7 linked regions of the Oryzias latipes genome follow. The main gene of each other region encodes a partner of the protein of the gene in region 6 in a complex. Links are inferred from orthologs where the notes say so. Each region holds a gene or a part of one and is shown on either strand. Other genes may lie near its edges.

Evidence for each region.
Region 1: tfdp1 (region 6) and lin52 share a complex: the UniProt entries of both Homo sapiens proteins name them as parts of the DREAM complex. The link is inferred for Oryzias latipes from reciprocal best matches to the Homo sapiens genes TFDP1 and LIN52.
Region 2: the proteins of tfdp1 (region 6) and rb1 are in contact, whole or in part, in a crystal structure (PDB 2AZE), measured with the Homo sapiens proteins. The link is inferred for Oryzias latipes from reciprocal best matches to the Homo sapiens genes TFDP1 and RB1. Residues at the interface, in NP_009042.1 of Homo sapiens: Gln222, Glu225, Leu226, Gln229, Ile262, Val271, Asp273, Asp288, Asn289, Thr290, Phe291, Glu292, Ile293, His294, Asp295, Glu298, Arg302; in NP_000312.2 of Homo sapiens: Ile835, Ser838, Phe839, Thr841, Ser842, Phe845, Gln846, Ile848, Asn849, Val852, Cys853, Asn854, Ser855, Val858, Leu859, Lys860, Arg861.
Region 3: tfdp1 (region 6) and mybl2 share a complex: the UniProt entries of both Homo sapiens proteins name them as parts of the DREAM complex. The link is inferred for Oryzias latipes from reciprocal best matches to the Homo sapiens genes TFDP1 and MYBL2.
Region 4: the proteins of tfdp1 (region 6) and e2f1 are in contact, whole or in part, in a crystal structure (PDB 2AZE), measured with the Homo sapiens proteins. The link is inferred for Oryzias latipes from reciprocal best matches to the Homo sapiens genes TFDP1 and E2F1. Residues at the interface, in NP_009042.1 of Homo sapiens: Glu201, Cys202, Leu205, Glu206, Glu208, Arg209, Arg212, Leu213, Arg215, Ile216, Lys219, Gln220, Gln222, Leu223, Leu226, Ile227, Gln229, Gln230, Phe233, Lys234, Leu236, Val237, Arg239, Asn240, Arg241, Glu244, Pro251, Ser255, Val256, Ile257; in NP_005216.1 of Homo sapiens: Arg202, Leu203, Leu206, Thr207, Asp209, Leu210, Leu213, Gln214, Ser216, Glu217, Leu220, Asp221, Leu223, Met224, Ile226, Cys227, Thr228, Gln230, Leu231, Leu234, Asp239, Ser240, Gln241, Arg242, Leu243, Ala244, Tyr245, Val246, Thr247, Cys248.
Region 5: tfdp1 (region 6) and lin9 share a complex: the UniProt entries of both Homo sapiens proteins name them as parts of the DREAM complex. The link is inferred for Oryzias latipes from reciprocal best matches to the Homo sapiens genes TFDP1 and LIN9.
Region 7: the proteins of tfdp1 (region 6) and rbl1 are in contact, whole or in part, in a crystal structure (PDB 5TUV), measured with the Homo sapiens proteins. The link is inferred for Oryzias latipes from reciprocal best matches to the Homo sapiens genes TFDP1 and RBL1. Residues at the interface, in NP_009042.1 of Homo sapiens: Pro260, Phe261, Ile262, Thr290, Phe291, Glu292, Ile293, His294, Asp295, Ile297, Glu298; in NP_002886.2 of Homo sapiens: Tyr1004, Phe1006, Asn1007, Ser1011, Leu1014, Ile1017, Asn1018, Ile1021.

Annotation. Positions count from the first base shown.
Region 1 is NC_019880.2:13,721,178-13,725,362, forward strand, and holds the start of lin52 (protein lin-52 homolog), read left to right. Parts: upstream 1-1,374; 5' UTR 1,375-1,377; coding exon 1,378-1,411; intron 1,412-1,462; exon of another isoform or gene 1,463-1,522; intron 1,523-2,197; coding exon 2,198-2,251; intron 2,252-2,867; coding exon 2,868-2,942; intron 2,943-3,018; coding exon 3,019-3,056; intron 3,057-3,153; coding exon 3,154-3,220; intron 3,221-3,981; coding exon 3,982-4,065; intron 4,066-4,185. Other genes in the region: pomt2 (protein O-mannosyl-transferase 2), read left to right, coding at 1-107, 293-398.
Region 2 is NC_019872.2:15,934,084-15,938,177, reverse strand, and holds the start of rb1 (retinoblastoma-associated protein), read left to right. Parts: upstream 1-1,290; 5' UTR 1,291-1,453; coding exon 1,454-1,563; intron 1,564-3,187; coding exon 3,188-3,308; intron 3,309-4,094. UniProt on the Homo sapiens protein: Tumor suppressor that is a key regulator of the G1/S transition of the cell cycle. The hypophosphorylated form binds transcription regulators of the E2F family, preventing transcription of E2F-responsive genes.
Region 3 is NC_019863.2:23,223,533-23,227,497, reverse strand, and holds the start of mybl2 (myb-related protein B), read left to right. Parts: upstream 1-1,157; 5' UTR 1,158-1,395; coding exon 1,396-1,415; intron 1,416-1,690; coding exon 1,691-1,787; intron 1,788-2,773; coding exon 2,774-2,845; intron 2,846-3,842; coding exon 3,843-3,935; intron 3,936-3,965. UniProt on the Homo sapiens protein: Transcription factor involved in the regulation of cell survival, proliferation, and differentiation. Transactivates the expression of the CLU gene.
Region 4 is NC_019865.2:2,000,237-2,004,548, reverse strand, and holds the start of e2f1 (transcription factor E2F1), read left to right. Parts: upstream 1-1,512; 5' UTR 1,513-2,421; intron 2,422-2,511; 5' UTR 2,512-2,717; coding exon 2,718-2,969; intron 2,970-3,057; coding exon 3,058-3,157; intron 3,158-4,276; coding exon 4,277-4,312. Other genes in the region: znf341 (zinc finger protein 341), read right to left, coding at 403-513, 971-1,001. UniProt on the Homo sapiens protein: Transcription activator that binds DNA cooperatively with DP proteins through the E2 recognition site, 5'-TTTC[CG]CGC-3' found in the promoter region of a number of genes whose products are involved in cell cycle regulation or in DNA replication.
Region 5 is NC_019882.2:7,716,612-7,720,645, forward strand, and holds the start of lin9 (protein lin-9 homolog), read left to right. Parts: upstream 1-1,217; 5' UTR 1,218-1,298; coding exon 1,299-1,329; intron 1,330-2,150; coding exon 2,151-2,183; intron 2,184-2,443; coding exon 2,444-2,535; intron 2,536-4,032; coding exon 4,033-4,034. UniProt on the Homo sapiens protein: Acts as a tumor suppressor. Inhibits DNA synthesis. Its ability to inhibit oncogenic transformation is mediated through its association with RB1. Plays a role in the expression of genes required for the G1/S transition.
Region 6 is NC_019879.2:10,686,701-10,690,824, forward strand, and holds the start of tfdp1 (transcription factor Dp-1), read right to left. Parts: upstream 2,811-4,124; 5' UTR 2,706-2,810; intron 2,592-2,705; 5' UTR 2,413-2,591; intron 231-2,412; exon of another isoform or gene 68-230; intron 1-67. UniProt on the Homo sapiens protein: Can stimulate E2F-dependent transcription.
Region 7 is NC_019863.2:32,783,187-32,786,703, forward strand, and holds part of rbl1 (retinoblastoma-like protein 1), read right to left. Parts: coding exon 3,411-3,517; intron 3,160-3,410; coding exon 2,996-3,159; intron 2,896-2,995; coding exon 2,831-2,895; intron 2,756-2,830; coding exon 2,599-2,755; intron 2,065-2,598; coding exon 1,898-2,064; intron 1,808-1,897; coding exon 1,695-1,807; intron 1,607-1,694; coding exon 1,503-1,606; intron 1,438-1,502; coding exon 1,300-1,437; intron 1,189-1,299; coding exon 1,024-1,188; intron 697-1,023; coding exon 564-696; intron 492-563; coding exon 258-491; intron 161-257; coding exon 1-160. UniProt on the Homo sapiens protein: Key regulator of entry into cell division. Directly involved in heterochromatin formation by maintaining overall chromatin structure and, in particular, that of constitutive heterochromatin by stabilizing histone methylation.

The sequences.
Region 1 (4,185 bases), on a different chromosome or scaffold from region 6:
ACACTGGACATCCTTCTTAAAAGCTCTGACCTGCTGCTCCACTCTGTTTATTCTGACCGGCTGAAAGTTGGTGGATGGCTGCTACTTCAGCTCAGCATCCTTTACAGGTGAGACTCATAAGAGAGCCCTAACTTTGCAGTTTATATCAGGTGAAAGTAACTCTTCTCGTAACTTTTTGCATTGCAAAGTGCTAAATACTGTAAGGCAGACCTCATATTTACATCTAGTTGGTGGGAATGTAAAGGCAATAAAGAATTTGTTGATTTTGAGTAGATCTTTGTCTTCCTTCCAGTTTCTACCTTTTTCATCCTCTGTCCTATGGCATGATGGGTCCTCTTGCCCATGAGCCGGGCAGTGCCATGGCAGGCCTGAAGTGGATAGACTCCTGGGACTTCTAGTTATCCTTGTTTGATTAAGATGTCACAGACACGGAGCATTTTGAGCCGAGGGAATTTCAAAACATCAGTTTGAGTCTAAACATTTCATTTGTCTTTCTGTAAGAAAAAATGTGAATTCAGTCAGTTTGGAAAGCAGATTGTAGAATCTTTTAAGATGCACTGGAGTTGTCACCAAGTTGCCTTTAGTGACAAACTAAATTCCATTTGAAAGAGACAGTAGTTGTTGTTTTTTTTAAAGCCAGAACATTTTACATGTATTTTTAGTTGAGATTGTCCTGAGCTTTAGTATTATACTTTTGATTTTGTGTTTTTATTATGTTGATCAATAAATTGTTTTATTCTTGTATTTCATGTCCTGTTATATTTGCAAAATTTACAAACACAAAACGAGATGTGCCGCAAAGTCAAAAAATTGGAAAACTCAATATATATATATATATATATATATATATATATATATATATATATATATATATATATATATATAATAAATTGTACCGTTTTTTTATGTATACTTAAGTTCAAACTTGTAAAATCTGTGAAACATGGGCCTAGTAAACTAAATGCAAGAAATTGTTGTTATAAAAATATAAACTAAATGCAAAACATTCCAAATCTGGGATGTGAAAGTCTTGTTTAATAATTGAGTTATGGTTTTTCTTTCCAGAAATAAAAACTAGAGGGAATAAAAGGTGATTTAAATGTCCCCTAAGGTAAAACCATAAAATGTACCAGCATTGTAACATTTCATTGAGACTATGGTGGGCTTAAATAAGGGTCTTTTCATTAAGTTATGACAGTAATGTTCGTACTACAATTTCTAAGACGATATAAATCTTTGAATAAAACGAACAGTAATCTTCTGTGCCTCTTGTAAACAGCGCGAGCACCATTGCCGCCCTCTAGCGGCGTAATTTTGAAAAACATCGCCACACCTCAAAACAGAGCGCGGCCGCTGCGATTGGTTGTTGCATGTCACATGATTATTTTGAAGATGGCGTCTCCAAATGGAGGTAAATTTTAATTCTTCTCTCCGATACGCTTTGAATACATCGCAAATGTGACAGTTTCGAGACATTTAAGTCGTTAACAGTTATAACGCAGTGTAATGTGAACACCCAGAGGTAACGTAAAATTTGTCGTAGGACTAAATTCTTGTTTAATCGGTTTGTTTTTCTTCCTTTGTTTTTCCTGATTCTGGGACTGACATTGTCCGCCGTTGATGATGACAGCAGCAGTCCAGATTGTTCTTCTTGTTGCTTCGTTTGGCCGTTTGGCTCGAATTAGCATCAGTGCTACATTTAGCACTTAGTTATTTTTCTCTACTTTAAATTAGTAGTAGCTGTTTTGGTTGCTTGTTAGATTTTGTGTGACTGTTCGACTCCTTTGATTGAAAATGGAATCAGTCTGCTATTAAGTATTATGTCCGTAATGAGTATCTTTTAATGTGTTAAAAATGTTGAAAGCAAATTCTAAAAAGTTTAACAGTCTGCAGAACCAATAATGTTATTAGTTAGTAATTCACACTCTGTCAAGAGTTATTGAAATTTTGGATACAATTCTCTATATTGGTGAAGGACCAGTGTTCAGATTTGATAGCAAAAGTAATTGTTGATAAGAAAGAAAACCCTTTATACATATACAGACAAATAAGAAAGAAAAGTGTCTCTAACAAGTGTGCCAAGAAAAGATCCCCCATACCATCACACCACCACCACCAGCAGCCTCAACTGTTGATACAAGGCAGGATGGATCTATGGTTTTATGTTGTTGATGCTACCATCTGAATGTCCCAGCAGGAATGGAGACTCTTCAGACCAGATGTTTTTCTAATCTTCTATTGTCCAGTTTTGGTGAGCCTGTGTGAATTAAAGCTTCAGTTTCCTGATCTTAGCTGACAGTAATGGCAGCATTAGGTGTGGTCTTCTGCTGCTGTAGCCTATCTGCCTCAAGGGTTGTTCAGAGATGCTCTTCTGCAGACCTTGGTTGAAACCAGTGGTTCTTTGAGTTCCTGTTTCCTTTCTATTAGCTGGAACCGGTCTGGCCATTCTCCTCTGATCTCTCACATCAACGAGGCATTTCTGTTTAAATGGCCAAACATATTTTTACAGCAGTGTAAGAGTTATTAGTAGATGATCAGATCACCACATGACTATGACCTCTTTGAACATTTTAATTGATCAGTGTTTGTACGAATCTTAAATGAATAAAACCATTTATTCTCATTCGAAACTGCCTAATTTTAAGACCAGATAAATATTAGATTTTTTCCTCTCTTTCTGTCTAGATAAAACATGAAACAAAAGTTGTTTTTAGGTTTCAATTTTTGACCTGTTTATAAAAAGTTACTTTTTAATTTTTTTTAAATTAACATTTGGCTGAATTTTATAGTTGACCACTGATTTCCAAAAGCATAGAACTTAAAAAACTAAAGAACATGTCAAAGTGAACCACTGTGTGCTTCTGCAGGGGAGGATTTTGAGATTTCGTTGCTGAGTTTTGAGAAGCTGGACAGAGCATCACCTGACCTGTGGCCAGAGCAGTGTAAGTTTCTATCCTCCCACGCCCAGCTGATAAAAAATTACTTTGTAATTGATTCTTTATGTGAATTCTCACACAGTGCCTGGAGTTGCAGAGTTTGCGGCAACTTGCAAAAATGTGAGTTTAGCTCTGATCTAAAGATGCAGGATTGACTCTGCATAGACTGATTGGAGTTGAGACTTTGTATGTTGTTGTTTTTCTCTTTTTATTGCAGCCTATCACCACCTCTCCTCCAAAGTGGATGGCTGAGTTGGAGAGTGAGGACATTGAAATGTTGAAAGGTTGGTTCAGACAGCTGACATTTATCCTGTATAAACCTTAGGGAAAACATTAAAAACCCACTCTGATAAGAAAAACCGTGTTTTGAACATGTTCTTGTGGCATTTGATATCTTGACATCTGATAATGGAGGACACGTATAAAGAAAATTAAGCTTGAAATTGCATTTCTGAGTTCTTATTTATTCAAATCGTTGTGAATCAGGAGCAGATGAAAAAATGCTGTTTGAAATTTCTTATTTCTTAATCAATATTGCTCGCCATTTTCGTTTCTAAGGTTAGGTTGGGGGTGTGAGTGGCTGTAAGCTAGCAGTAGAGTGTATAAACTGATGATCTACTGCAGCTCTGCTCTAACTGTCCTTAAAAATCACACAGTGTTTTTTTTCTATCTCGGCAAAAAACGGCATAATCATTCATTAAAAGACCTCTGGGAACGCCTTTTAACCCTTGTGCTATCTTAGATGACCCCACCCTTACATTGACGTGTTCTTCCGACCATGACAAAGGTGGATAAAGGTGGAAAGATTTCATGTAATCCATGGACACCAGTGAAGATCATAAATCATTGAAGAAAAAAAGTTCAGCGCACTGTCTAGTGGGTCTACATGACCCAACTCCCAACGTTAAAGTGCCTAGGATAGCACAAGGGTTACAACAGATCAAAAGATCAAATCCGAGTGGGACTTTAAATAATAATTCATGTTTCTTTAGCTAATTAAGTATCTCTAAATGCTTTTATTTAGTGTGATGTTATACCTCTGCAGAGCTGGGAAGTCTGACTACAGCCAATCTGATGGAAAAAGTCAAAGGACTTCAGAATCTGGCTTACCAGCTGGGTTTAGAGGAGTGTAAGTATAACAAAGACACTTCACCACTAGGGGGGGCTAAAAGCATTTCCACGCAATTCTCTGCCGCTGAAGTCTTTGGCTGCTTCCACATTCAAATTCCAAACAGGTTGACCTCACTTG
Region 2 (4,094 bases), on a different chromosome or scaffold from region 6:
CATAGATCTGTTTGATTATCAGTAAAATTTGCATAAAGCTTCAAAAAGGCCAGAGGGTATATGTATATATTAAACACATCTCATATTTGATTTCCTTTATTAGATATACATTAATTCTGGCCTTAGCACACACAAAGTGTGTACTCAAGACCACATTTTAATCGCAACAAAGATTAGAATGAAACTCAAAAGGTACAAAAAGCCCTGAAAACCAAGGAAAACGACCCAACAGACACAGGAGATTCAACCAAAAGGATCCCCCACCACCACGGCTTGAAAAAAAACCCCATAGAGTTGGAGTATTAATAATAATAATAGTTTCATTAATAGTATTGTGTAGCAATCATAGTAGTAATCAAAGTCAAAACATTAATACATTTTTATTACTACTACTATTAGTCAGGACCTCAGTTGGGTCCTCTCCCTCTAGATGCAGCTCTAGATGGGGACCTGCATCCCCACTTAGCTGTGGTGGAGCGGTCCCCGCCTGTGATGCTGCATTTTGGCTGGCTATGCAGCTATTCAGAGAGAGGGAGGTTCAAACGATTCAAACATCTTGTTTTCGTGCTCAGCCTATTTCTCATTATTGTCTTTCCCCATCAGTTTAGGGGGTGGGAGGTGTGAAAGGAGTGGGGGGCTGTGTGTAGGTACAGGAAGGGGGCCCTATTTTTTAATTTTTGTGTTTATTTATTTTAATTTTCATGCTTGTTTTTGTACTATTTATTTTGTTTTAATTTAAAGAACTGTATGTTATTCTTTTAAAATTAAAAAGTGGTTTATAAATAAAGTTTGATTTGATTTAATTAATCTTGTTTTTTATTATGACCCGAGCTCAAACTAAGTGAACCACAGATTAGATTGTAGGTACGCTAACCACCAGGAATGGAAAAAAGGTTCAAACGTAAATTATTATTATTTTCGATGTAAGGAAAATATGTTTTTGTTATACAATCAACGTCATTGCCATTGACAGACGTGCTAACTTTGTTTCGATTGTGGTGCATGCGCAAACAAGCGGAAATTGCGTCTGTATTTTCCCGCGCTTTTGTACTGTCAGTTTGTTTTATTTAACTCAAGTGCTGTCATGTGATCTGTGTGAACTAAAAAAATGGTGTCTGATATGATTTAGAGTACAGTTTAATAGTAAAATTAGCTTTGACTTCTTTAGAAATAATATTCTTAAATCTAAATTCAAAATAGGGTATTTTATTCAGATATATTATCACAGTGTAAAGAACGTTTGCAAACGCTACGACATAACCTCCCTGCGGGGCAATTCCTTTGAATAAAACGAGCATACACTGAAGCACGGCTCCAGGAAGTATGTCAGATTTTGTTGTATTGTTGCCATTGAATTTACTGAGTGGGCTTTAAACTCTAAATACATTAGCTGCCGATTTAAACAAAAGTACAAAAAGGTGTACACATTTTTCTGAAAAGTAACCACTCCAATATGCCGCCTAAAAAACGCAACTCGGGAGCGGCACAGAGCAAGGAGCCGAAGCCGAGTTCTGACAAAAGCTTTGCAGACAAGAAGGGGAGTCCAGAGTTTTCTTTGAACAAGTAAGATAAGTTAACAGTCGCCATTCGGAAGGGGACAACAGATTCCCAGTATACACATTAAAACGCTCTTTACTCACTGACACAAAAAACGGGCTTTGAAGGAGTATTTTCATGAGTAGCTTGTGTACGAACCGTTAGAGTTAGCCACCGCGAGGCTAACAACATTGTACCCCTACAGTAGTACTGACAATGAATGTCGCAATCCACACAACCAGCAGCATAGTTTTACAGTGATGAAAGTCTTCCGGGAATTCCCGGAAATCCGGGTTTTTGAGCAAACCGAACGTACTTTCCGGGAAATAAAGACCTGATCTCTACGGACAAATCGCTTTCCGGATTAAAAAATGGTCTGAAATCAGCTAATTTTAGCTTTATTTTCTATATTTCTCCGCAGATCGCTTCCTCTATGGTCGTGGCCATCTCTCGTCTTCCCGGCCTAATTGACCAATGACGGGCCGTTTTAGTTGCTTTCGGATGCGTCGACGGGTCTGATTGGCTCTGTCTGCACCACGTGGTCAGCGTGACTCGCTTCCCTAGAGACCAAAACTGGCGGACCCACGCTAAACTTTCACAAACACATCTGAAGAGTTTGCGATAAAATTTGTGTTAAAATAATGGCAGGCATCGTCATTATTGAGCGTGGTCACGACCTCAGTTGTGAGAAGACGATAAAAAACAAATTGAAGTGGTCTTGGCTGGAAAAAAAAGATTTTTAAGGTAGTGTAGGTCAAATACTTTTTTGTGTAAAATAATCTCAAAACCACATTTTGAAATAATTTCAATTTTAGTTTTGAGTTTCAGTTTTTATTTTGAATACATTTCTTTATCTAATTTATTTGTATTTCCTAATTACCATGATTTAGTTCAGTATAGTTGACATTAATTACAAGTATTTGATGGTTTGGACCCGCACTCCCTTAAAAAATAATGTTTACAATGTTTAGCTTAGTTTGTATGTTTGTTTTGATATTTCCCAGATTACTTAGTATTGGTGTTAAAGAATTGATGTATTATGTTATAGAATTATAGTTAAAGCAGATCCCATATTTTGATGTAATTATAGTTTGAGAAAACAGTGCAAGTGGATGTTGTACATCAGTCATTTCTAAAGCAGAAATAATGTATAAATAACTGAGGTATTTTCATAGAATATCATAGTTACTGGTGTTCTTTTTGCCATTTGGGGCTTTGATGTTACTATATTTTAGCAATTGTATGTTTTGCAGCTTTAAGGAAAAGCGTAGATTGTAGGATTGTGTTACTTTGAGCAATTTTCCAAATTCTTTTTTGGGACCAGCAAGTCCTTAATGGAGAGTCAAACTAGGGGTTTGAATGACAAATCATGATGCTCCAATTAGTCTTAGTTTCTTGATAAAGAAGTGAATAACTAGTTGCCAGAATGCACCAGAATGCATCTAAGACCACGTATTTTTCCAAAATTTTGCTCTGTGCCCGCCATATCGCTCAAAGAAAAGTTCAGGGATTTTTTCCTTACCTGACTTTCATCACTGGTTTTAACAAGTTTCATCTACAAATAACAGGAAATCATGTGGTTTAGAAAATAGTCTAGAAGGTTTCACTGCTATATAATCTGATTTTCTGACGTTTGTTTTCCTTTCTGAAGACACACAGAGAAGGATGTGGAGTTTGTGACCCTGTGTAAGAGCCTCCACGCCACGGATTCCGTGTGTGAGCGCGCGTGGACTTTGTGGAAAACTGTACAGGATGTGATGGAAGATGTTGATGTATGTATAACCAACTGTCCGAGTTGTCACTTTGTAATGTTGGGGCCCTGATGGTAAAAGCAAAGATACATTTATAGATCAAAATAAAAGGGATGGCAGGTTGATGCAGTCTGAAACCAAATGCCAACCAAGCAATTATACTTATTTTTTCCTCTTTACGTGACAACAAAGTGCCCCAGCTAAATGTACTTGCTTTTATATTTCATTTAAACTTAGATGCATTTTAATCAACCATCTGAAGGATTTAAATGAGTCTGATGACAGCGCAAACACATAACTTTCTTTAATAAAGAAGTTCCTAAACCAGTGAAATAAAGAGATGACAGAAAAATAATGAAGACTGACAATTAAACAAGCAAACACTGAAATCTCTGCTATGGGAAAGAAAATTATCGGCAAGTTTTTTCTTAAGATATTTGCACAAACAAGGAGATTGTAACACCATGACTCCAGGGTGTCATGGAATCACCCAGGTAGAATTTATTAGTAGCTTTGACAAAAATAACATATAAAATCTGCCAAAACAAGACCTTATTGTGGAAAGTCTAATAACAATCAGTAATTATGCAGTCTGACATCAAAAAGCAGAACATTTCTTTCTGGATTAAAGAAATAATGATTCATAAAATTAAATATTTTGTTTTTGTACCAGTTGTCATCTGAGCTTGATTTGACGCAAACTGGATCAGAATTGGGATTTTCAGAAACCTTTTGAATATAATAAAGACTTGTTTACTTTAACACTGTGCATTTTTTTTTACTATTATGGCTCAATTTTACCTAAGC
Region 3 (3,965 bases), on a different chromosome or scaffold from region 6:
CCATAAATTAGACATAAATTAGAGTGGTTTTCTTTTATTTTCAACTGTGGGATGTATGACAAAATGAAAAAGAAAAACATAGGGAGTTCCTAAAAATATGCTCAAAAATTCCTGAAAAATTAGGAATTTGAGAACAGAAAAATTCCTAAAAAGAATTTAAACACAACATATTGAATTTCATGTAAGTAGTTTTTCTCTGGGGAAATTCACCCGGCGATAGTGCCCTAGAGTTAACCATAAGTACATGTATTCCCCTAAACTAATACACTATTTTTTAATCATAATATTTTGATATTTATATCAGTTTGATAGGTCATTGTATGAATGTCTAACTGATGATTGTATTGTTTTTGTGTACTATTCTTATTTGATTGCTTTAAATAAACCATTTTCTAATCCAAATATTTGAATTTTGTTTAATTTTCTTATGTGAAATCAAAATTACAAGTAAACTTTAAAAGTCAAATTAAATTACAGGCCTAAATGAAGCTGTTCGCTGATCTTAATTAATGAGAACTGTTCTATCCAAATTTTTACTGAGATTGAGAAGATTGAGCTTAAAAGAAAAGTTATAAGATGAACAATGTTTACCTTCAACTCGCAACAATCATAAAAGACCTAACTATTGACTAATCATTTTATCTTAGCTTATAAGAAGAGTTCACAAATATTTTATATATTCATATACTGATTCATTTAAAACTAACCTTTTCATTATTTTTTTTAACTGTTTTCCGGTTTTAGATTAAATTTAACTTTTTGGGTTATTATTTTTCTAGCTTTATTTATTTATTTGTTAGTTAGTTAGTTAGTTAAGTTAGTTTGGCTCTTTTATTTTTAAGTTGGTTTTGTAGTGTAATTATTTCTTTTAGGACAATGTATCTTTGCTTCAATATTTTCATTCATTTATTTGTCTATATCATTTTTTTTCAATTCTATGTTGTATTTTTTTGTCTATATAATTATTATTATTATTATATTTTAAATTATTTATTTATTATTTATTTATTTTATAAATCTTAATTACAGCACCTAATTAAAAACCATTTTGAATCAACCAAACATTACATTTATTTTATTATAAAGCGTCTTAACATTTTATTTTGAAGGTCATCCATAGAGGTTTGAAGCCTTCTGCGCAGATCTACGGAGCACCTACGTCACTTGAGAGTCAGCAGTACGGAGAAGGGCGCGAGATAGAAATTGCGGCGCGCGGACGAAGCTCGCGCCTACCTCTAGCTGTGGCTTCCCGGCTCTATTATAACTGCAGTCGAGGTTCTTTCGTCAGAACTGGACATCCTGCAACGACCCAGCCGTGTCACCTGCAGGTTTTTCCCGCAAACACCTGCAGCCCAGCCCGGTGAAGTCCACGTTTGACCCAAATAACAGTGGGAAATGTCATCGTGGCCGCGCGGGTAAGATCCGTGTTTTTGTTTGCTTTTAAGTTTGCTTGTTTGTTTATGTTGCATCTGATGAGCTGACTTCTGCTCCGATCGGGTTGTGGGGAGTTTGCGCGGACTTTGACTGCCGCCTTTTTTCCGGACTTGGCTCAAACTCCGACCAGAATCACCGCCGGTACTTTTCCAGATCACTGCTTCCTGTCAGTAAAGCTGAGCCGCAATCCCGCGGATCCGGTCTTTCTTCGGCGCCTTTAGGGTCAAATCTCAACCTCTTTAATGTGTCCCGGCAGGGAGGACGGGGAGGAGGCCGCGCATCCGGACACGGACACCGATCTGACGGAGTTCAGGGATGGAGGGAAAGTAAAGGTCAGATGGACGCAGGAGGAGGTAAAAGTTCACCCTGAGTGGGGCCTGTGATTCTAGTGCAGTGTTTTTCAACCTTTTTTGAGCCACGACACACTTTAACCTTGACAAAAATCCTGCGGCACACCAGCATCCAAAAATGTGAGAGAAAAAAGGAAAAACTTATAGTCAGTCTGTATTGATCTACTACAGCCCCTCCGCAATCTCACATGCATTTTTGTGACAATTGTGGCAGAAAAAGCTGGAAGTTGCAGCTGTTTTTTTTCTAAAAGATGTAATAAAAGTTAAGTTAAAAGATTTAAAAACTGTTTGATCTGTTTTCGTTGTGGTTTCAAGACGTTTAACAAGGACGACTCATTCTGCGCTAAGACGCTGTCACTTTAACCCAATGCATCATGGGAGATGTAGTGCAAACAGCCGCAGAACGCAGAAAGACTAGCGTCTCTGAGCTTCATTCTTTTGTCCACTTTTTCCACGGTCTGATACCAGATTCTGTGGAAAGCTGCACCGCTAAAGACGAGCTTTAGCTGATATTTTTGTTGGAACTGAGAGACTTTATGAGCAGAATCGGAACAAGGAAGTGAAGACTTTAACCACTTCTGATTGGTCAGACTGTTGACGTGTGATTGAGCCTCCAAGAATGATTGGTGGAGACAGTTAAAGGGGCGGGACTATTCCTTATACAACTGTAGCTGCGGCTAAATCACGGTACCGTCATTCTTATCAACATGTCTTTAATAGAATCAAATAAACACAAAGAAAAATGTATTTTATGGTCTTTCATATTCCTAACTACTCAGTGTTTTATCAGGGCCTGTTTGGATGAACAAAGAGCTGTTATCCTGGAGTTGGGAAATCTTTTTAGATCAGTTAATGAGGGCAATTTCCCACGGCACACCAGACCATCTCCCCCGGCACCACGGCACACTGGTTGAAAAACACTGATATAGTAGCCCTCGTGGTTTTGCAGCGTAAAACAAAAATGATTTGTGTTTGTTTGTTTTTTGCAGGACGACAAGCTCAAAGGTCTGGTTCAAAAACTGGGGACAAATGACTGGAAACGAATCTGCAGCCACCTCCCTGTAGGTCTAATAGGGGCGTATCTGTCTGATCATCACTTTGTGTTGCACTGCAGGAACTTTGATTTATACAAATTTACGAAATCTTACTTTTATACAGGGGCGGAGCTACAGGCGGGCAAGAGGGGGCACCCCCCCCCCCCCCCTGCATAAATCTTAGCCTCCTAATATTTGAGTTGATATGATAATCATTATTTTCATAGGTTTAGAAATCATAAATACTAGCTTCTTTAAGTATTGCAAAAATAATTTTAAAAAAAATTATTTTAAAAAAAAGTTCTTGTTGCCACCCTTTCAAAGTCTTCCACCCCCCCTTTAAAATCTTCTAGCTCCGCCTCTGCTTTTATGATTTCTTTCACTGAAATGTTTTCTTGCAATTATCCAACACTTTTATTGCTCAGACTTAAAAATATAAAACCAAGTTTCAGCGATTACCGTAGGCAGTTTTAATATTCAGTTTTCCCTTTTATAAAGCATTTAGAGTTTAATCCTAGTTCAAATTTTCCCAAAGAAGAGAATCCCCTTTTGTAGGATTTTGGTAAACCGAATGTTGGATTTGTCAAAGTTGGGTGACTTGATGTTTTTTTTGTTTGTTTAAACTTTTTTTGCACTAAAAATCTGGGATTAAAAGACTTAAAATTATAAAAATTCCTTCAAATTGCAGAAAAAAATTTAAGGTGAGAGGATTTAATCTGCACATTATTTCTGATGACAAAAGAACAAGGACAAACCTGCAGCAAAAAATAAAGTTACATATATTTCAGAAAAAAACATTTTTTTTGGTTTTTCAAATCCTGTAGAGAGAGAAAGAAAACTGCTTTTTAAAGTACTTTAAACAATTGTTTGTCTTTTTTGAAGAAAAGGTTAACAATTATTTCAATATCGTTTTTTGCAAGTACTGTTTTGGTGACAAACATGTTGGGATTGATCTGGAGATGATCGGGATCAGAGGTTTAGTTAGGACGTTTTTCCAAACCTGACGCTTGTTCTGTTGGTCCAGAACCACTCGGAGAACCAGTGTCAGCACCGCTGGTTTAAGGTTTTGGATCCCGAGCTGGTTAAAGGTCCGTGGACTAAAGAGGAAGACGAGAAGGTAAGCTGCCATTCAATTAGCAAGTCACGT
Region 4 (4,312 bases), on a different chromosome or scaffold from region 6:
TGCCTGATCTACATGGCTTTTGAGAGGAAGAAGGTTTAAGTTCCACTCCAATCATCCCCTGATCTCTTTTCGTTTTTAGCCAAAAATACATTGGAAAAAAACTGTTTGTTTTCTAGAACATAGATTCTGCAGAGCGCCAGGAGCTGTGGGCGTGACTGTTGGCACAGAGCAACCCCCTTGTTGCTGAGAGCTCTTTGTTTACACACTAGATAAAAGCCCCTCAACCTATTTGTCTGCAAGTGGATGCATCAGAATGGGGCGGAGCAGGGAGCCTGTGGCCCCGCCCGGCGGATTTTCTACGTCACAAATGCGATCTTTTACGAATACTCGGAAATGCAACTTTGAGCTTAGTTGTCTTAATCTGTAGCAGTCCTGTGGAGCTCGGTGCAGAATGCTCCTTACCCATAGACTGGATGGTGGATCCTGCAGACACATTCTGGTTGTTGGGGTCATTGACTCCCCCCTGGCCATCCAGCAGGGACTGGACTGCTAGAACGGTCTGGTTGTCCATGCCTGAGGGGATGGAGGGAAACAGGGATTTAACATCAGTAACAGCTTTTCTTTTTACAACATGTTAGAAGAAGATCTGCTTCTCCATGAAAGTGACAGAAACAATAACGCGAGGAGTGCATGTTCACATATTAATGAATAGCTTTTATTGTCACATGTACAGCTTTTACACTGACATACGAGATGAGTTATTATATTACAGAAATAATTAATATTACATTTACAAAAAAAGCCGTTTATAGCAGTACAGTCTTAATCTTTAAAATATAATCAGGTTGTTTACAATCATCATCATCAGATCAGGCAGAACCCTTCAGTTCAGGGTGCTTACAGCCTACATAATACCCGTTTAAAGGGTGATTTAGTGTTCAAACAAGTCTCCAGTTAATTTACATGATGTGGTTTTCTTTGGCATATAACATATTTAATAATTGCGCGGTAAATAAGACTATATTTGTACCTTCCAGCGCCTCGAATATTGTCTGCGCCATCTTACAGCGCTCCTGTTTACCATCGGTGATCGATTGGTAGGGTCTGTTACTTTAGGTGCAGACCCCCCAATGAAATGCTTACATTAATATTTGCAAATAGAAAAAAACTTATCACATTTGGTTCAGACCCCCAGAAAACTCTAGTTTAGAAAGTTCCTAAGCAATCAGATTTAACTTTATTTTTTGTTAATCTGATTGCTTAAACGGAGAGGGAGCGCTAGGGACTACATTGAAAAAACGTAACTTTTTTAAGCTGGGACGCAAAGACTGTTACATCATATATTTAATATGGTAAAGGAGTTTATCTTTTAGTTTTGGGAAACCTTACATGAAACTGACACTACGTGTTTTACTATTTTGTTTAAAATTTCCTAAACAAAGCAGTTAAGAAGCCTTTTGTCCGTGGAACGTGAATGCACCTCCCAATCAGCAAATCTGTGCTCTGGAGAGTCACAGACGGCCATCTCCGCCAATCAGAGAACACCAACCTGGTCACATGGAAGGCCAGTTTTCCCCATGCTCTGTAACGTGACAGACGGCCATTTCCACCAATCGGAAGACACCAATCGCGTCACGCGCAAAACGAATCCCACTGGCCAATCCCAGCGGTCGCTTTTCCCCACGTGCCAGTTTCGCGGCAAAAAGGATTTCGCGCGAAAACCGTCCAGCCTTGTTTAGATATAGATCAGCTGGGACAACAACAATGACGGCTGCTAATGGGGTCGGCGCGGCTCGTTTACAGATGGACCCGATCTTCGGCGAGCAGACGAAGGAGCATCGGCACATTTTTTAACGTTTGAGCGAGTATTTCCTCCGTTTTGTCTGCATCTCCCGCGTTTCTCCGAGTGCTTCCTGCGTGCCCCAACAGTACGAGGGGGACCGAAGAACTGCAGCTAATCCCTGAAGCTAGCATGCTAAAGTTCCCCGTATTTCCGCGCTAAACTCTCTGTCGTCGCCGTCGCCCGGACGGATGGTTGCTTTCTTTTGGGAACTATTTTCTCAAAGATGGTGTGGATCTGCGATCATGATGCCTCCGCCGAGTGAATGTGTATTTTTTTTATTGCTTAGATAGCCCAGTTCTGTGAGCGTCTATAAAGTTTTCCGAACCCGTTAATGAAGCCATATCGTAGGGAAAAGGAGATAAACTTTTAGGTAGTGGTGGTAAATGTAGTCCTCTGCTGTTGTTCGTGTTTATTAGCAAAGTTGTTGTAGTCTTTTCTTGTGGTAAGCTAGTTCGTTAGCTTGGTAGCTCTGTGTTTGAGGACGGAGTGGCGAGGCCTCTGACAGGAAAACGAAAGACTAGCAGGCTAGCTCGCTCATGATCTCAATTTACGGCGGGTTTCTTCTTCTACTTCGTCTTTTGACCTTCTTTTATTTCCGCTGAAAACGGCGCGCGAGCCGAGCAGCGCGTGAGCCTAAAGTAGGATGCGCTCAGCGGGTCGTTTCCTGTTTGGGCTCCACGTCTCGCCTTGACGTTTGAACCTTCGACTCCTCTGTGGTTGATCTGCAGATTTCAGGCTCGCTGTAGGTCAACCTTCAGCAGGAGGAGGAGGAGGAGGAGGAGAGGTTAATGGATCAGCATTTTCTCCTCAAGTCCTCCTAACATGTTTGGGGTCACCTGGTGCTGAGCCTGTTTTGATACCCCAGTTGGTGCCCCCACCCTCCCTGGCATTCCCCCAGTCTGCTGCAGGAGCCCTTTGGGCGGCAGGCAGTGCCATGTCAGAGACTCTGATAACGGGTCAGACATCCGAGGATCTGCTGAAGGACTTTGAGACTCTGCTGAACTCCGGGAGCATCGATCTGAGCCAGGACCACCAGATCGTCATCATCACCAGCCCCAGCAATGAGGGACTCCACCCGCTGGCCGCCCCCAGCAGCACGGGGGAAATCCTGCTATTCGCCACGCCGCAGAGCCACGCCGACGCGGGGGGCCAGGACAGGAGGAGGCCGGCTCTGGGAAGACCTCCGGTGAGGGCGTGGCTTCAAGGCGGCCGCCGCCGCCACATCATCACACGCCGGGGTTCACATAATCGATTCCTCTTCATTTGATGATTAGGTGAAGAGGAAGCTGGACCTGGATAGCGACCACCAGTATGTCAGCACCACCCGATCCTCCGCCAGCCAAGCACCTCCTTCTACTCCTGCTCCTCCCAGAGGTACGCCGCACGCTCAGGAGCAGGAGCGCCGACTCGGCATCCTTTCACGGCGCTGAAGCTGGCGTCCGGTTAGCGGGGGCACTAAAGGAACATTCCACTGCATTTTTCACCCTAAGACCACCTTAGACCAGGTCCTTTTCAGAAACCACAGGACCTGGGCTGCTCAAACCTGGATTAAAATTAGGATTTAGATAGTAAAGAATTCATTAAACACAGCTTCTGATTTATGAACATTGAAATGGGATGATTTTATGTAGTTGATCAATTTAAAATGATCTATTTTTAGTCTGCCGTCGTTTGGTGAGCTGCATTGCAGGCAGACGACACGAATTCACAAGAGGGGAGGCAACAGAATCCCAAACAACAGAGCGCTGCGAGCAGGAAAGCCACAAAAACTTTAAAATGATTAAATAAAAATGAGTCCAGGTCCAGCGGTTTTTCAAAAGGACCGGGTCTTAGGAGGACCCGGTGCGTAAAATACTATAAAATCCTCCTATTTCACATTTTCATGAGTCAGAAACTGTGTTTAATGAATTCTTTACTATCTAAATCCTAATTTAATGCAGGATAGAGCAGTCCAGGTCCTGTGTTTTTGAACAGGACCACCAATCATTTTACATCTTTTGGATTGCGTAACGCTCAGACTGACTCATGACATCATGGCGTCCACATGCTGCGTGAAGCGTTTCCGTCCGCAGACGTTTGGGGCCGTTGGGATGAGAAGTTGAAGGAGAATTTCTGCTGAAGGCTGAGCCTCAGTTCCTTTTGTTTTTTTATCACTGAAATCCACATTTGACCGTTCAGTTCTAAGATGTTTCCTTCAGCAGAATCTTCATCGGTGGATTTCTATTTTTAAACCACCAAAAGACCCGCCGTGGCTCCGAAATCCAGGTCCCGTGGCCACGTCAGAGAGGGCGGGGCTTGGAGTTTCTTTAAAGGCTGGTTATAAATATTACCTTAAAGAAAATAAAAGTTTCGATGGCGTGGTCCAAACGAGGCCTGCCTGTGCCGCTGGAACGTCTTCACAGCTGGAGTCGGAGGATCACCTGTTTTCCACCTGGATGTGTGTTTTGTTTGTGGAGGAGGTTTAAGGCGGCGTGTTTTTCACTGCTTTTCCAGTTCCTCGAAGCACGGCGGAGAAGTCGAGGTACGACA
Region 5 (4,034 bases), on a different chromosome or scaffold from region 6:
CTTTTTCCTATCTAAGTAACTTTTGAAAAATGATTTCTAAAAGTACACTGTTCCTTCCTTTTCAGTTAAACAGATTTATAATAAAAAACTAGTACTTTTACTCTGCCACATAGGCTATATTATTCTAGCAAGTTTTGTGGGTGTAACATTTGCAGCATTTTGTTTTTGGTGATGTAAATTAATAATTGCTGGTATATGCAATCAACTAATTTGAAATTGTAAGATGGGATATTTTAAAATCTCTAATGCAGATAAACATCTTTGTTGTTTTTGTAAAGGAGCAGAGAATTCTGGGTATTTTAAAACATTTTACAACTAATAATAGTTATAAACTCATTAATAAATATAGTATGGGAGGTTTTGTGTTACATCTGATAAGAAAGATTGACATATCTGATGTCAGTTATTATCAGCCATCATGTTTAAAAATACTGGCATGTACACAAAAAAGAAATAAAAAATCCAAGATTGTGCATCTTTGTTTTAATCTACAAATCAGGGTTTGCCAAAAATATGTATACAAATATATTTTTTATTGTAACTTCAGAATGTTATCCAAATATTTTAAAAGTATCACACATTGCACACCAGTCCCCCCATTTTCTGCCTACCTTATTTTACAAGTTTTAGTCTCTGCATCACATTATAATCCTATGCTTTAATTATTTGTTTATTTTTTGTTTTTACAGAAGTTTAAACAAAGCAAATATTTGGGGAATTTTGCTTTACTTTTATTTCATTTAATTCTTTACGTAAAGCGTGCAAACAATTACAATAAAACGTTTTAAAAAAAAGTACAGACAGATTAATACACTGTCAGAAGACAGCTGTTGGAAGACAAATGCAATAAGTTAGCAACGATACCAGTCTTATTTTGATGTAGAGTTGGTCGTGTTTGAATAGGTTGAAAATATGAATATGTGATAAACTATCCAAACAAGGGTAACATTACTTCAATTAAAAATTAAAAAATAAATAAATAAATAAATAAAATGCTTTCATATTAATAAATACAAGTTATGAACATAATCAAAACAATAATAAATCTGAATGATCCCCCAATCGAAACATCCAAAGAGCTCAAGTCCATTCAAACAGCATTTTGTGCTTTCTTCGTGCCATAAATTAAACAAGGAGTTTATTTTAGAACCGTGAATGTGTTATTTCCATGACTTTGATGGCAAACCTTCACTTTGCGGGCCGTTTTTGACTCTTGTTTCTCAAATCGCCCTCCACAGATTCCCGACCCAGAATGCATTTTGACAACGTCTTTGAAAAAGCAGCGCGGCTAATTCAAGATGGCGGAGATGGACCAGCTGTTAGACGAGAGTGAGTAAAAACACGAATTTACCGAGTTAGTGGAATAAGAGAGCGTTGCTTTTCACCTAATCAGACGAAACTCGTTTTGTCAGACAAATTTAATTTTTCGTTTAGGGGTCACTTCAAGATTTTTGTTTATTTAGAAGGTCAATTTGAACGTAAAAGAGACACCGGTTTGTTCAAATCAGCTAACGTCTGTTAGCTGGAGCGGCTAACCATAGCTAATGTAGGGTTAACTAGTTAGTTTGGCTCAAATGGGTAAACTATGCCTGCTAGCTTAGCTAGGAGCCAACAACTGCTAACTTTGTGTCGCTATCGGTAATAATAACAAAAGGGTTTCCTCAACGTTCTAGCCTGCTAGTTTGGTATCGGTGTATTTGGTCAATACTATTTTTATTTTCTCGCGACACAGTGATATATTAAATGTTAGCTAATGCGGATTTAAGTGAGTTTCTGGTGTGTTATTTCGCATTTTAAAGTCTAATTTGAAAACCGAAAGGTTCTCATCAATGGAAAATAATTTGAACGCAGCTAATGTATTGTATAGTTCTTGAAAACCGAGGCGACCGCATCTCGTTTATTTTTTTGCTAGTTAGTCCTGGTTTTGACAGCTCGGACTGAGGTAAAGTAAAGGCCTTAATTGCCAGTCAACGTATCCAGTCGTTGACAGATGTCATGATGGGTTTGGTTGAACTAGCTTGTGTGTAGTACGCTTGCTTTTTTGTGTTGTTGTTGTTGCATTGTTTTTTTTGTACGCTAGCCTTTTCATCTTTATGCTGTGTTATTTTGTACATAATGATTAATGCAGCTCGTTTTGTCTTCTTTCTCAGGTTCCTCGGCAGAGGCTCTCGTCAGTCTTAAGGGTATGTCAACAGTTTTATCATTTGTGGACTGGTCTTTAAACTGACAAAATGATAACTTGTATTTGGAATTGTCATTTTTATGCCTGACATTAGACTGTACAAGACCTTGTTTATTTAAAATAATAGATATCTTTGAATTCATGTTTTACTTATATTTACCTATTTATATTACAAAAAAGAAGCCGTAAAACGAACTGGATATTTCAATTTTATATTTTTTACTCACAATATTATCAATAAATCTTTTTTTTTCCCTACAGAAGGAAGTTTGTCCAACACTCTAAATGAAAAGAACAATTTCCCAAGAACTCACAACACCAGAGGAAGACATTCCTCCCTCACAATGGATACAGTAAGAACAGTGATTCTGGTTGGAATTAGAATTTTTTTTTTCCAAGATGAAAATAATGTTTTTAGTGTTATGATGGAGGGCACACAGTATATAAAGAAAATTAAGATTAAAATATCATTTCTGATTATTTCTTTATTCAAATCATTGTTAATCAGGAGCAGACGAAAAATGCTGTTTTAAAAAAGCCTGCAGCTATGATGTAGGCGCTACAATCGCAAGTTCCTTGCTCCACTTTTTTCCGGTGCATCTACTTGCAGACAAATGAATGATTGCACGTCTCTGTTTTCCTCTTCCGAGCTGGTATCCGGCTCAAAACTGTACAGCTGGAAAGCTCCAACATTGCTTGTTATTTTTGATGCGTCTGAAATGTTAGCTTGGGGTTGTGAGTGGCTGTAAACAAAGGAACCATGGGAAGTCAGGACAGGCCTGCCCACAACTCAGAGGGGAATTTCTAATGAACTACTGCCGCTCTGCTGAAACTTTCGATGAATATTTTTGATTTTAGCAAAAAAAATAGCATAATCATAATTAAAAGACCACTCGGAATGCTTTTAAAATGGATCAAAAGATGTTTGGAGTGGGAATTTACAAGTGTCTAAAATCCTGCTTATTATATTTGATTTTAATGTTTACAAAGTTGAGCAGAAAAGTACTGTACTTTCAACTTTAGGGATGATTTGAATACATCTCATGTTGAGTCAATATCAAATATAAAGCATTAGTTGGTCAATTATCCTAAAAATTGTCCTAAAGAGTAAAGACATTTAAAAACACTGAACCCCACTTTGCCTCTGGTGAATATAGGTTGGCGCCAGCGTTCAGCAGCAGAGCTGCCATCAGTGTGAATGTTTGTGTGAATAAGTGAATGGGACTATGACTGTAAAGCGCTTTGGGCCTTTGAGCAAGGTAGAAAAGCGCTATACAAGTCTAAGCCATTTACTAGTAAAAGTAAATTACTGGTAAATGTAAAAAAAAAAAAAATTCTACAGTCTTCATTTCTCATGTTACATGTTTATGAACAAAGACTGCACAAGCTTCATTTATTTGGAAGAACTTGGAGAACTCAAATGAATGGGCTTGTGGTTCAACCTGCATACAACACATATTTGCATATTATTATCCACAAAAAAAATGTCTTGAAGTTTTCGTCTTTTAATAAGTTGCTTGTATTAATATTTAATGACACCAGCCTCTGTTAACTTCTTGCTACCATGCAGCTTCAGGATGTACACTATATAAACCTGTAATCCTCTTTAGTTTGGCTGTAATAGATGTACGTTTGGTTTCATTTTTAAAATTCTTACAGGGATATTTTAAAAAATACAACACAAATATGTTAAAATCTAAACTCAACTCTCTAAAATTCCTTTAATAACTGTGTCCATTGGATGTATTTTCCTTAAAACCTGGAGCTTTCTAGTACAAATCTTTCGCACTGATTTAGAGGCTGCTATCTAAATGAGTTGAGGTTAATAAAGCTCAGTTTTTTTCCTGCAGCC
Region 6 (4,124 bases):
AACATGTGCACAAAACTGAAAGTTCTTACTTGAGGCGCCGAGCCACAATTCAATAAATGCAGCTTACCGGTGCGCCTTCAAGTTAGCAGTTCGTTACCTGGCCTTTTCACTCCCTTTCAGCTAGCCGTTCAGCGGAGCAGCGACTCTAACAATCTGATCTTGGCGGTGTCTCACTTTAGCGGCGTCTGATTGGACAGCAGGAACGAGACGAAACCATTGAATGTTACTACAGTCAATGGACGAAACCAAGTGGAGTAGGGGTTCAAAATCTCTTGGGGTTGTTGAACACTATCCAACTTCAGGAAAACACGTAGCGCCATCTGCTGGACTGGAATGACATGAAACTACAAGCATGACTAGTTATTGGATTCTTATTTTACTGGATTTAATTATCCTTTTAATTATTTAAGTATGTGAATGAAAGGCATCTAAAGTAAAACTCTCCCTCATATAACCTAAAAAAAATAAGACGAGCCTTGCATTACAAAACTCTGTTTATTCTGTCTTGCTATGGTTTGTTCTTCTATATTTGTTTTCTGGCTGCAATTACTGGATTATTTTTGCTGCTTTACTGTGTTAAGCAATCTTTTGTAATGCTCAACCATTCATCAATAAAAATAAATAAATAGAAAAAGGTTAACTCATGGCACTTCTGAACCCTTAATTTTTTGCAATTTGAACAATGAAACTTTGGAACATAAACTTTTATGAACACATACATAGGTTTTCTGGATAAACATTAGACGTTAAATTAGACGTCAAATTAAGTTTACATTCCCCCTATATGTGCTATAGTTGGATTGACTAGATAATTCATTGACAAATACTATTAATATTATTTTATTACTCAATAAATATCACGCTCATTGAAATAAATGGAGAAGCAGCAAACCCTCCTTGTCATGTTGTAAATAAATGAATTCAAAATATATTACCGATCATTAAAACTTCCAAAAAGAATCAATCCACAAATATCTGCTTGTTATTTTTTTTAGTTTCCTTGTATAATTTTTTTGTCTCCATTTTACAATCCTATGTGAGAGATTGTACATTACAGTGTGTTGTTGATTTATTCAATAAAAAAAAAAATTGGCACTTCAGAAAGTAACAAAGACCTTTGAAAGATGACAGCTGAAATGCATAGTTTGAAAATTAGTAAACATTAATGTATGTGTTTGTGCATGTGTGAATGTATGTGTACCTGTATGATTGTGTATATATATAAATTATATGTATTCAGAAGTAAATCAATTGAATGTTTTTTTTTGTTTGTTTGTTTTTTTGATGGGCTTCGACAAGCAGAATGCTTCAGCCCAGACTCCTTGGGTTAATAAAGATTACCGGTGTTGTTTAAATTAATTACACCAATTATTATTTTTCATTCCCAGGTGTTAACGATAAACCAGGAGGACACATAATTGAAAAAAGGTGAGGACTGTTACAGTTTACTTTTTTTTTTTTTTTTGTCTGACTCCAAATCCCAGCACTCACCTTTGGCATTTATTGCATTAGGCGTGATAATAAAGGCATTCTATTCTATTCTATTCTATATCTACAAACACTGCCAAGTTAAGAATTTAATGCAGTCATAATTAATTTGATAGTTTTCTATCTGCAGTGGTGTGTCTATTTGGCATAGTTCTCTCCAACTGCATTTTTGGAGGTTTGGTGTCGGAATTTTTGTCCTATAATCAAAGTAAATTCCTAGCTGGTGAAGAGTTTAGCAATGCTGAGTTTATTGGGTGATACAGAAAATAGTGCTTTCTTTAAACTCTGTTGCGAGCTGAACATTTATAACTATGTCTTAGGCCATCTTGTTATAGTAATTTCATGTTACAGCCTACATAGCGACATGGTCAGAAGTCAAACATTTTCACTAGAAAATAAAATAAAATCATGAGCAATGACAGAAATTTTCTTAGTGGTGTAGTTTCCATCATCAAAGACATCTTTTTTCAAAGAATGTTTGCTAGATTTTAGTTGATGATCTATCATCTTCTTCTTAATGTTCCAGTTCCTCTTGAAAAAGTAAAAACATGTTATTTTTGTGATTGTTTTAAATAATTGAAAATGTTCTTCTCTAAAATATATAAGGGGGTAAGACCCACAGCATGCAGGTCACTAAGCAACAAGATTTAGGAATTTGGCATTTTATTACAATGAAAAGCAATGTGTTTCTTTGTTTATTTCTTTTTTTTTACTCCATTGTTCATTCTTTTTTGACACACACACACACAGACACACATGATGCGTTTACTGTATACGAACATTAACATGATGTGTTTCAAGAACTACTGAAACACATCTCAAATAAATCTTCTGCATTGGGGCAGAAGCGGGACATGAAGTCACCTGTGCTGATGTGATCCACGCTGGTCTCCAGAGCCAACAGGATCAGCTTGAAACACCTACCAATGTATTTCTTTGAGGTCCTGAGACAGCACACATCTCCCTGAAGGTTCTGGGGGACTCCTTCCTGTCTGCAGGCGATGTGAAGGCAGGCGGATGCGATGGCGACGTTGGCGCGCCCCTTCAAGCTCTTCTGCTCACAAAATTGGTGGAATAAGTTGTTGGTTTTGTCTGCGATGTTCCTAGGGAAGTTTACAAAAATGTTCATTTAAATACATGAAAAAAATGTTAAATGTCTGAAGGACTCGAACAAATAGGTAGAAAAACAAAAAAAGAAAGTTTTTAGTAAACATTACATTCTATTAAACATCTTGAAATTGCCACGAATTGGTGTTACACTGTTACAGTTCATTACAGAGGAGCTTCATTCTGCATCTTGCGCATCAAACAAACTGCGGCAGCATGGAGTAAAGAAAGCTGCACATTCACAGATAGGTTATCAAGGGCTCACTGTGTGCTGAGTTATTAAAACTTGTTTATGGGTGGACTCATTTCTTTATAAGATAAAACCGAGCTTGGTTCTTCGTCTGCTGAACTCAGATAATTCTGTTTTCTCGTGAAAGAATCTCTAACATACTAAATAGTCCATAAATAGCTTTAGCCCTCACTGTACACCTAAAAATAAGTTATATTGTGTTATATTATATTTAGTAATATTATATTATATTAGTAATATTATAATAGCTGATGAAATTATTTTTATGAATGGATTGAATGGATGAAAAAGAACATTTTGTTGAATATTCATATCTATTTGATACTGTTGTGATCTAATATTTTGTGCTAATTCTTCGCTTGTTGAGAGTTTTTAGAGGTTCCAAAGTTAGAACTTGTTGGTCATTCTTTGGTTATCAGGCTTCTGTCCTCTAGCTCCAGTTACCACTTAAAGTTTGGTGTCAGACAAACCTTTTTTATCTTTATCATTAGGCTAAAACTGTTCTGTTTGATAAAGATGGTGAAGCTCTGTGTAGTCACACAGGCTCATTTTAAAACACACAAAACAGTTTCATAAATATTTTTGAAAATGTTCTTTTAAATGACTTACATTCCTGGTTTGGCACTTTTGTTTCTCTTCTCTTCTGTCCTTTCAGAATAACACCTGAAGATGGGTGATTGACCTTCACTGGTTCTGCTGGAATGTCCCCAAATTAAACAGAAGCCCTTTTTTCTTGTGTTATCAGCTAATCCTTGTATAATCAAAATAGGAGAAAAGCAAACGACAGGGAGTGTGAACTAGACTTGTGAATAATACCTTTCTACTTGGCTCTCAGCATTAAAGATAATATTAATAATAATATTTTAATAATAATTAAAATAATAATTATAATATAAAATAATAATTATAATAATAATTTAATAATAATGTTTTGTTGTTTTGTTTTTTTTTGCATTTCTTTCGTAGACGACTGACATGTTTTTTATTCTTGTTAACATCCTAGGCACTTTAACGTTGGGAGTTGGGTCAAGCAGACCCACTTGACAGTGTGTTGAACCTTTTTCCTTCAATGATTTGTGATCTTCACTGGTGTCCATGGATTACATGAAATCTTTCCACCTTTATCCACCTTTGTCATAGTAGGGAGAACACGTCAATGTAAGGGGGGTGGGGGGTCATCTAAGATAGCACAAGGGTTAGAGGTAAATTGGGTTCTGGACAGACTGGATGGTGAACATTGCTCGTGCAGAAGCCGCAGCTGCTCTTCTTCGGAATCCTC
Region 7 (3,517 bases), on a different chromosome or scaffold from region 6:
CGCCGCGGCCGGCCGCTTCCCGTGTACGGCTCGGTCGTCATGGCAACAGCGGCGGCGGGTCGGCTCGGGGACGACGTCAGCAGGAACTGGGCGGTCACCACTCCGGAGGAATCGCAGGAAGACACGGGGATGAGGGTGAAGGTGCGGTCGGTGCTCATGCCTGCGGGTTGAACGTCACACCTTCAGCTCGGGCTGCTCTCATGCCTCAGACTCCTCCCACTTTCCTCCCATTCAGTGTCCAGGTGAGAAATGATCACCTTGCAGTGGGAGACTCACGACCGTCGTCTGAGCTCCTTGGCCACCGATCTTGAGCGTTGTGCTGCCGCTTGAGCTGAAGGTCAGTTTCTTGGCTGGGGAGGGCAGCGGCCCCGCGGGGGAGGTCAGGCCCACAGACGGAGCCGGAGGGTCGTCGCCAAAGAGACGCCGCTTGGCGCTCCCGGCCGCCGGGGAGCTGTACCTGTCGTGAACCGACAGCGGAGAGGGGGGCACCTCTGAAAGGGCAGAGGAAGCAAAGTCGGTGCTTGAACCGCAGCATCCTGCACAGACGTGGAGCAGACACCCACCTTTCCGCGCGCTCCCCAAACCGGCCCTGAACTCCCGGATGCGGGGGTGGATGATGGGGGAGTGGGCCGCCAGCGGCAGGTGAGGCTGAATGCCGTTAGAGGAACCCGAGTCCAGACAGGAGGAGAAGTTGACCTGTTGGAGGAGACGAGGAGACTGCTGCCAGGTGTGTCGTCAGGTGACTTAAAGAAAAACCTGGATTCCCAGAATCCTCTGCTCTAACCGTCAGATGTTTGAAGTTCATAATCTTCACGCAGACAAAATAAAACAATCCAAAGTTTTTATTTTGTCCACATGAAGGTCTACAATAATCCAGACCTTTTCATGACTCAGCAGAATTGCTGAGACAAACTCTGGAGAGCAGGAAGATGAAAGCAGGCTTCACATGTAGACCTCAGTAAACCTGACAGACCCTAAATGACCTTCAATGACCTTCACCTTGGTCAGCACCGTCACACTGACCTCCTCCACGGAGGGAACTTCGTTCCCTGCAGCCTTCAGGGCGCTCCACAGCGCAGAATCTTCGGTCCACGCTCTGCTCTCCAGAACCTGCTCCTCAATGGAGTTCAGGTGCTTCACCATGTCTCTGGACAGGCCCTCCTCAGAGCGGATGAACACCTCGATCACCTGCACACACAGCCCCAGAGACCGCCGTTCTCCTTAAACCAGCTGACTCATGGTTCAGCAGAGGAAAACCCAAGTGGATCTAAAAGATCTCCAGCGGAGCAGCGTCTCTACCTTAAAGAAGTAAAACGGGGCCAGTTTGAAGACGTCGATGATCCACGGGAACGTCCTCTGCGAGCTGTAGGAGAACAGCACCACCTCCAGGCAGCACGCCATCAGCGAGCAGTGAAAGATGTCCTGCTCCAGCAGAGCCTGCAGTCACAGCACTGTCAGATCAGGCCGCCGCGTTTCCCGCCATCCGGCGCCGCGCCACTTACGCTCATGTCTCTGCCCTGCAGCCGCTTGGTCTCCTGCACCAGAACGTTCTCCAGAACCTTGTAGTAGAGGATCTCAGCCAGCTTCAGGCGGTTCTCTGCAAAGTCTGAAGCAAACGCGACGAACATCGTCACTCTTCCCGGACTAAACCTGAACGGATGAAGCTGAGGCAGCTTCTGAGCAGAACCGGATACCTATGTGAGAACCCGGGGTGTCCTCCGAGTCGTTGGTGTAATGTTCCTTGAAGGTCTGACCCAGAGTCTTCACTCGGGCCAGAACGGAACCAGTGGGATCCCTGGAGCAGGTTCTGCAGGGCAAACGGAGGAACCGGGACACAAACGGAGAAATTTTTCATATGAACTTCCTCTCAGCAGCGCGTGCCAAGACAAACACCCACCTGAAGATCTGCATCAGGTTTTCGCTGGGGGCCGTCCTCAAACCCGCCACCATGCTCTGCAGCCGGCTGACGCTCTGCGTCGCCGAGGAGACGGGAGTGACGAGCAGGTCCTTCTCCTTCAGGTAGCCCCGCCCCGTCAGCGGGGTGGATGGAGCGAGGGAGGCGGGCTGCAGAGAATGAAAGAAGGTCCATCAGGTGGTCTGCAGAGCCCCGCTCCGACAGACACAAACATGCTGCTGCAGTCAGAGGCTGGACTTCATCGTCATAGAAACGCTGGCGCTGGTATTTCCTCCAGAGGTAACTGGAGGTCAAACCTCCTGAAGGTCTGCCGAATGGCCTGCTTCCAGCACCGAGGCGGGAAATGGTGGAGCAGCTTCATGATTTGACGTTTGTTGGGAAAATGAAAGCAAAGCTACACAAAGGATGAGCAGCAGCAGCAGAGGGGAACGGCGCATTTCTCTGCTGTCCTGACCCCATCAACCGTTTGGACGTTTTCACGGCGTGGTGGAGCAGAGGGGTCAAACCCGCCTGGTTCTGCGTCTGACCACAGGCCGCCATATGGCGGGTTTGACCCATGATGGATTTGAGACAGGACAGGAGTTTCTAGTCTTCCTCGTGGGTGCGGTGCGAGCCCCTTCCTCACAGGACGACCACGTCAAAGCGACTTTGGCGACGACTTGGCGGCGTTTGCGAGGACGCACCTTCTCCCTGTGTTGCTGCATCTGACCGGCAGAGCGATCTGGAAGGACCTTCCTCGGCGTTCCGATTTCCTCGTCTGCGTCGGCTCCCAGGAAGACGCGCTCATCGAAGTCCCCCACCGTCAGCACGTACTCCTCATACTCCCTGTTGACGGCTTTGCTGTGGAAACGGGCAGAACGCAGCGGTGAGGAGCCGCCGGCGGAAGAACCGCGTCAGAATCCAGAGCGTCCGTACTTGTTATCTATGAAGTTCTGAGGGTCCAGCATTTCCGTCAGCAGCTCCTGGTTTCCCCTCAAGATCTGAAAGGATGCAAAGAAAACGGAAGCATCAGAAGTTGTGCAATCCAAGGATGTAATGGAAAGACTGGGGGGGCCACAGGTGAGGAGACAGGGTGCACACCTGTCTCTGGAAGAGCTTCTGGATGTACGGTCTGAAGTAGTGCTGCCTGATGCCTTTGGCTTCCACCACCAGCCCATCGTGGAGCTCACACAACCTCTCCAGCACGCAGGGAGGGGGCTCGTCAGGCACCACGTGGCAGTCTGCGCGGTACTGGGGGGGCAGACCTGAGGAGACCCAAACACGGGAAGAGTTTGACGGTTGCTGGTGCAACCCCCTGAAGGCCCCCGCTTCCCCGTGAGGCCATGAAGCCGCACAGCGAGGAACGGTGGTTTGAAGCCCGCCGTGGCTTCCATGGAGCTGCTTTCTCCAACGCACATCACTCCCATCAACGTGATCATGTGTGTGTGTGTGTTGGGGGGAGTTTATGCGTGTTTGCATGTGAACAGAAAAGGTGGCAGAAGCGGAGCGGACCGACCTCTGAAGGTCGGGTTGATGAGGTCCTTCCTGTTTGCACACAGCAGAGCGTTTCCAAACACCAAGTCCAGACAGCAGAGCAGCAGGTGGTACGAGTTCACCAGGTCA